Linked DNA regions of Diceros bicornis minor. The protein of the gene in region 2 interacts with the protein of the main gene of each other region in a pairwise test. Links are inferred from orthologs where the notes say so. Each region holds a gene or a part of one and is shown on either strand. Other genes may lie near its edges.

Region 1 (3,746 bases), on a different chromosome or scaffold from region 2:
CATTAAGCCCCAGAGGAGTCTCGGCAGGTCTGAGTAGCCAGAATCCCAGCACCCTGGGCCCATCTCCTGGCCCAGGGCCTGGCCTCCTGACCTGCCCTGGCCCCGGGTTCTGCTGAGTTCCACAGCCGCGCAGGCTCACGCCGGCAGAATGGAGAACACTGCAGTTAATTAGAAAATTTCTCCTCCTTTGACCTGGCACCTTGTGCTGAATCTGGAAGATCCCCAGACAGACCTGTGGGACTATTTTGTCTCCTTTCTTACTAATTAGGAAATTAGTTTCTCCTAAAAGCAGAATATAACAAGAAAAATCTGGCTCCCTGAGATTTCAGCAGCTTCCAGGAAAGAGGAAGATGTTATTACTCACGGATCCAAGTCTAAACCTTCATTCTATTCTCGGCTTAGCCCCGTGGTTCTATGTGAACCACAGGGGAAGAGATAAAAGTCTGATTGTCCTGCAAAACCTTCCAGAATTGGTCACATATCATGGGAGACCGTGTGGCCTGAATTTCTTCTTCCTGCTAGTGGCGTGACCTGGAGAGGCCACCAGTGTCCTGAGATAATCTCCCCCAGTGATGCCAAGGATTGCTGGCAACAACCAGAAGCTGGAAGAAGCCAGGAAGGATTCTATGCAGTCTCAGAAGGAACCAAAACCCGCTGACGCCTTGATCTCAGACTGCCAGCCTCCAGACCCAGGAGAGATTACATTTCTGTTGTTTACACCACCGAGTTTGTGGTGTTTCTTACGGCAGCCCCAGGAACCTAATACTTCTTGGTTTGTACCTAACCTGTTCCCCTAAATGTCTTCCTTTGCTGGGAAGAGGTGGAATCAATGTCTCTTTCTAAAAATTTGAAGGCATAATAATTTAACTCTGTATGTTACAATAGGGAAGAAACAAATGCTAGAAATCAGGTGCCCTCTCCCTCAGCAGAGCCACCTTTCCAGCACACCACTGAGGGTGGCCTGTGCCACCAATACCACAAGCAAGGGGCCTCCTGAAGCCCTGAACGTAGGCTTTGGGGCTCCAATTCTGACACCAATTCCGATGTGGGTTTTTTTTCCGACACCACCAAGCAATTAACTCAATTCCGACACTATCTACAGGAGATAGTATCAGATTCCACAGGGTAAGGACTCAGTCCTACCAGCTGGCTCCGCCTCCCGCCCCCTCATCCCGCCCACTTCAGATGCCAATCACAAGGCCAGGTTGTCACCTGTGCTTCTGACCAATGGGCTATAGATGGGAGGTTCCCACCACCCCTGCTTGGGTTTGAATAATGTGCTAGAGCAGCTCACAGAACTCAGATAAACATTTTCCTTACTGGATTATGAGTTTATTATAAAAGGATATAACTCAGGAACAGCTAGATGGAAGAGATGCATAGGGCAAGGGATGGGGAAAGAGTGCAGAGCTCCCATGCCCTCTCCACAAGCACCGCTCTCCCCAAATCTCCCCGTGTTCACCAACCTGGAAGCTCTCCTAACCCTGTCCTTTGGGGTTTTTATGGAGGCTCCATTCCATAGGCATGATTGATTACATCATTGGCCATTGGAGATTGATTCAACCTCCAGACCCACTCCCAGGGTTCAGGGGTGGGACCGAGGTGCCCACTCTCCAATCACAGGGCTGGTTCTCCTGGCGACCAGCCCCCATCCTAAGGTGCATTCCACAAGTCACCTCATTAACATAACAAAAGATAATGCTCCTTTCACTTAGGAAATTTCAAGAGTTTTAGGAGTTCTGTGGCAGGAAAGAGGATGAAGACCAAATAATACATTTCCTTTTTTCCCCCAGTGTTTGTATATATTGCGAAATGATCACCACAATAAGTCTAGTTAACACTGGGCTCCATACATAGTTACAACACTCTTTCTTGTGATGAGGACTTTTAAGATCTACTCTCTTAGCAACTTTCAAACATGCAATAGAGTATTAACTATGGGAATGTAACATACAGCATGGTGACTACAGCTAATATATTTCTTATTATAAATCACAATGTCTCCGGGGCACAAAGCTCCCGCCCAATGCCCGGATGTGTGCACTCCACGGATGCCCAGCAAAGGTGTCCCAAAATCCACCCCTTCGTGGCCACAAGGCTTTTGGCCAGATTTGGGAAGGGGGGCCGCCCTGTGCTCCCAGACCAGCCACTTCTCTCCTAGAATCTGCCCTCTGCATGCAGGGTTGGCTGGGGGCCAGCGGCAACACGGGCGTTTCTGAGTCTCTCGGGAGCAGCTGCAGAAACTTATCTTTATGGCTCCTGCCTTCCGGCACAAGCCACGTTTACAGGGAAATCCTTTTAAAAGGCACCTCTGCTGCATGAACACACCCCCGCACCAGCCCACTCTTACCTGTGCGCCTCCAGATCAGAGACCAGGCAACTCATATCTCTCCCTTGCTCTGATTCCCTTTTATCTGGTGTGTGAACCCCTCCTCCCCACGCTATTTTCCCTTTGCCGACAGCCAGAGAAATGAAACTAATGGCCTGACCACAGAAATGAAACCGAAAAATCGACACGCTTTCCGGTGACTCACACAGTGGTCCTCAGATTCAAGCTGCATCAGAGTCTCCGGCGAGTGGGGGGCTTGTGAACACACCACAGGGCTGGGGGCTGGGGGCTGGGGGCTGGGGGCTGGGGGCTTGGCCCACTCCAAGGATCTGATGCTGCAGATCAGGGGCCAGCCGAGAATCTGCATTGCTAACAAGTTTTCGGGGGAGGCTGATGCTGGGCCACACTTGGAGATCCAGGGACTCAGCCGCGCTGTCCCGTGGGACTTTCTGTGATGATGGAAATGTTCTATTCTTCGCTGTCCAATTTGGGAACCACACTGAGCATTTGAAATGTGGCCAGTGTGATGGAGGAACTGAATGTTTTATTCTTTTTAATTCTAATTAACTTAATAGCCACTGTGGATGTGGCTCCCCTAGCGGACGGTGCAGGGCATGGAGATGTTTACTCAGGTATGTGATCTGAAAGTTCTGAGACATCCGGCTGGCATGGAGCCTGAGCCACACCAGCAAATGTCACCCTCTCCCCTGTTAAATGCTGAATATCCAGAGAAGGGAAGTAAGTCCACAGCTTCCCAAAATGACCCATTTGCGCAATGCATACCCTCACACTCCAGTAGTTCCCACACCCTTTAAGAGTTCTCGCTCCCCTGTGGGAAAGGAAGAGGGCTGCCCCGCACTAGACACGGGCTTCAAGCCAGGAACTCAGCCCCGAGCCAGAGTGATCTTCTGGTCCTGCTACTTCATCTGCAAAAATGCGGGCATGCGCCTAAGTGGTCCGCAAGGTCCCCCTGCTCTGTGATCCAAGCGCCGGTGAGCCAGGTGTTCCCGTCACCAAGGCGCAACTGTTGGGAACCCCAGGAGCCCTCAGCATGGGGGCGGGGGAGTGGGATGACGCAGAAGGGAAGAAGCAGCCCTCAGTCTCGGTTTCACTCTCGCGATCATCTCCAAAACGGAAATTAACATTATAAATTAAGAAAAAAAATCCTGAGCATCTCTTCGCTCATTCACTTTACTTACTGCCCTTGTGGGCAAGTTTTTCTTAAAGAAGGAATTTAGAGGCTTAAAAAAAATGTTTTTACCATTAGGAGGTCACAGGGAGGCAGTGTTCAGGGTCTGCACCGCAGGACCGAACACTGACCCGAATCACTCCAGAGTCCCCGGCGGAGGCTGAGAGCGAGGCGAAGGCTGAGCGCGGAGGCACTGCGCAACCGAATTGGCAGTGGGATAGTTTTTTT
Region 2 (3,746 bases):
GTATAGCTTGGTGTAATATCATTCATACTTCCACTTTCGGCTGGGCTATGACCCACGGAGTGCCTGACTCTGCTAGTGAAGTGTTTGTCAAAAAAGGTTACTAGAGTGTCACCAGACACTAATGACTCTTAGGCCGCTGGGGGGCTCACCTGGATTCCTATGCATGTGGTGGCGTAACATGTCTGGCATAAACATAACAGACATTTAGCCCCAGGTTTTCAAAAGGGGACGCTGCTCCAGGGGACATGAAGCAGCATGCTAGAACCAGCCAAGAGGAAAGGTGTCCTCCGCGCGTCCCCATCGCCTCCTTCTTGCTCGTTAGAGAAGCGAGGCCAAAACTGAGGCCGAGCCTTCCATCTGGTGACCCAGAAACTGAAAGCAACCAGAAGCGGGAGAAGCACACGCAGGCCAGATTGGAAATAGAACCGCTGCCGAGAGCCGGGAGAGTCAGACGCTCCGCTTGTTACCTAAAACCAGAGGGGGGATGCAGAAGCCACACGTGGACCCAGGCGTGCCTCGCCTTCGGTTCCCCGCTGAGGCGAGGCCAGGAATGGAAGGAATTCTCCCCTGCAGCCCCCAGCCTAGAACAGCCACTGCCGTCTCCAAGGCCGCTCTCGGGGAAAAAGGCCAGAAAGCACGTACTGGCTCCTTTAAGGCTCCTCCTAGCCCGCCCTCTCCCGCCCACGTGACCCGGGGCGGCCGCGCGCCGGCTCGGCCCCCCGCGCAAGCGGCGATGGCGGCGGCGGCGGGAGCTGCAGCGGCGGCGGCCGCCGAGGTGCGGAAGGGGAGGGGGAGAGGCGGGTGCATGCCCGCGCGCGCGCCCGGGGGAAGCGCGCGCCCGTGCAATGCTCCGGGGGTGCAACGGGGCCGGGGGGCCCGGGCGGGACTTGCAGCAATCCGGAGGGCCAGCACTGGGGGCGGATGAGGGGACCAGGGGGTGGGAGGTGGGGGGAGTGGGCACGGAGGCGCGCGTGCAGCCGCCGGCTGCCCCCGAGTGGGTGGCGGGCGCCGGGGCCCCAGGAGCACGCGCGAGGGGCACGAGGGGCCGTCCACCGGGCTGGGGGGCAGCGGGCGCTGGAGGGGTTGGTGCCCGGGGTCCCCGCGGCCTGGGGGACAAAGGGGGAGCGGCGCGTGCAGCCGGGAGGAGGGGGCGGGGCCGGGGCGCGGAGGCCCCGCCCCCTCCCCCTTCTCTCTTCTCGGCCCCTGAGATGCGGGGTCTACCGAGAGGGAGGGGGTTGATGCGGGCCCGGGGGAGAGGTCGTGCGGCCCCTCCGGGCAGCCGAGGCCGCGGAAGGGGGGGCCCCCATAGAGGAAGAGGTAGGCCCCGGAGCCTACTCTCTCTTCCCAGGGCCCAGGCGTCCTGGGCCCCCCAACTTCCTACTGGGCTGACCAGTCCTCCTATCCCTTGTGTCCCCTCCCAGGGGGAGGCCCCCGCTGAGATGGGGGCGCTGGTGCTGGAGAAGGAGCCCAGAGGAGCCAGCGACAGAGGTGAGTTTCTGGCAGAAACGGCCCGGTTGGACCTTCACCTCCCACAGCACAGGATTCCTTGAGCCCTTAAACCTGAACTTTTTTCTTCCCTTTCAGTTCATGGCTCTTTGGGGGACACCCCTCGTAGTGAGGAGACCCTGCCCAAGGCCAACCCCGACTCCCTGGAGCCTACTGGCGCGTCATCCCCAGCCTCTGTCACCGTGACCGTTGGTGATGAGGGGGCTGACACTCCTGTAGGGGCCACACCGCTTATTGGGGATGAACCGGAGAATCTCGAGGGAGATGGGGGCCGCATCCTGCTGGGTGAGAGGCTGGGGAGTCTAGGGGGTGAGGTGGGGTATCCTCTGACTCTGCCTTCCCTCTTATCTTGCCTTCTGCCTGCCTGCCCTGTCTGTTTTCCAGGCCATGCCACAAAGTCCTTCCCGTCTTCTCCCAGCAAGGGGGGTGCCTGTCCCAGCCGGGCCAAGATGTCAATGACAGGGGCTGGAAAATCACCCCCATCAGTCCAGAGTTTGGCTATGAGGCTGCTGAGTATGCCGGGGGCCCAGGGGGCAGTAGCAGCAGGGCCTGAACCCCCTCCAGCTACAACCAGCCCAGAGGGGCAGCCCAAGGTCCACCGAGCCAGGAAAACCATGTCCAAACCAGGCAATGGACAGGTGAGGATTGGGGGAGGGCTGCTGGGAGTGGGAGAGACAGGGGTAATCAACCGTAAACCCCTTGTGGGCTTTTCTACAATTTAGCTTTAAGCGGTCTCTAATCTATTCACAGCCTGATGTATTTACCAAGGGGCTACTGTGTGTCAAATTCTAGGCTGGGGCTTAATCTGTGAACAGACATATTCCTTCCTGTCTTTCTGGAGTTAACATTCTTGGGGAGAGGGGAGTAGAAGAGAGAAATGTCAATGAGCTAATTATGTAGTTAATGCCTTAATTACTCTTATGGTAATGACTATGTAAAGAAACTTTAAACCACTCTTCCTTTCTACCTCAAAGCAAGTCTCAAGGGAACTTTTCCTCCCTTCTTTGAAGCTGCCCCTGCTCCATTTTTAAAGATTTTACTATAAATCTCTACAGGGAAGGAGATGAGGGCCACAGAAATGACAGAGGAGGAAAATGACAAAGGCCCCAGAATCTCAGAAGCTTTATGACAGTGTTCTTAGGGTTCTGCATATCATTTTGTTCTGGGTGTGGTTTGGGTAGCTTTGGTGAAGGCCTTAACCTTCGTTTTCTCACCTGTAAAATGGGGAGAAAGGGCTTGCTTCTGTGTGAAGAGGTGAGTGAGTGTTAGGTATGGGATGTGCTTGACACACTTCCTCCCAGGATACAGCAGTTCATGTTCTGGTTACTGGAGCTTCAGAGGGCATTTTTGAGGGTGTGGCTCACCACCCCACCCCCACTTGGGGTTCCAGGCTAAAGGCTCCCTGACCTTAAATGTGCTCCCTCTTGCCCCCAGCCCCTAGTCCCTGAGAAGCGGCCCCCTGAAGTGCAGCATTTCCGCATGAGTGATGATGTGCACTCGTTGGGGAAGGTGACCTCAGGTCAGTCCCACCCCCCACCCACCTGAGGCTTGGTCTGGCCTGTCCTGACAGGTTAGAGCACAGACCTCACGCCTTTCTCTCTCTCCTTCCAGATGTGGCCAAGAGGAGGAAGCTGAATTCAGGAGGTGGCCTGGTGAGCCAGGAGAGGCAGGGAACAAGCCCTCTCCGCCTGGGGGGCTGCCCTTCCAGGAAATGGGAGGTTGATGGGTGGGGGGGAGCAGCTTCAATTTTTTTATCTTTTTCTAGTCGGAGGAGTTGGGTTCTGCCCGGGGTTCGGGAGAAGTGACCCTGGAGAAGGGGAACCCCGGGTCCCTGGAGGAGTGGGAGACAGTAGTAGGTGACGACTTCAGCCTCTACTACGATTCCTACTCTGTGGATGAGCGTGTGGACTCTGACAGCAAGGTGAGAGGGAGCGGCTGCCCTCCTGGCCAGCACCTCACCTCATCCAGGGCTTGCTCTCCAGTCTTGCCTGCCCCCTTTTTCTCTCTTTCCTTCTTATCTTCTGAACAGCCACTAATTTACTGCCGCATCCTGTCTATAACTTATTTCCAGTGTGTGTTCCACGCCATTCCATCCCTTTACCTCTCTCCACAGTGGTGACCACCATCGTGGACTTTGGGTTCAGCACCCCATTTTATGGTTTATTTGTTATTTGTTTTTTCTTTTGCTTTTTGTTTGGTTTTGTCTCATACATGTTTGATTATGTGATATAGTGCTTAGT

What was found. The genes of interacting proteins can lie anywhere in the genome.
Region 1: the proteins of EHMT2 (region 2) and MX2 interact in binary tests that used the Homo sapiens proteins (3 or more experiments, as listed by UniProt). The two-hybrid records come from large-scale screens. The link is inferred for Diceros bicornis minor from reciprocal best matches to the Homo sapiens genes EHMT2 and MX2.

Annotation. Positions count from the first base shown.
Region 1 is NC_080766.1:41,125,630-41,129,375, reverse strand, and holds the start of MX2 (interferon-induced GTP-binding protein Mx2), read right to left. Parts: upstream 2,618-3,746; 5' UTR 2,535-2,617; intron 2,506-2,534; exon of another isoform or gene 2,351-2,505; intron 1-2,350.
Region 2 is NC_080753.1:32,916,959-32,920,704, forward strand, and holds the start of EHMT2 (histone-lysine N-methyltransferase EHMT2), read left to right. Parts: upstream 1-1,187; 5' UTR 1,188-1,208; coding exon 1,209-1,488; intron 1,489-1,584; coding exon 1,585-1,791; intron 1,792-1,890; coding exon 1,891-2,144; intron 2,145-2,940; coding exon 2,941-3,025; intron 3,026-3,117; coding exon 3,118-3,158; intron 3,159-3,271; coding exon 3,272-3,427; intron 3,428-3,746. UniProt on the Homo sapiens protein: Histone methyltransferase that specifically mono- and dimethylates 'Lys-9' of histone H3 (H3K9me1 and H3K9me2, respectively) in euchromatin.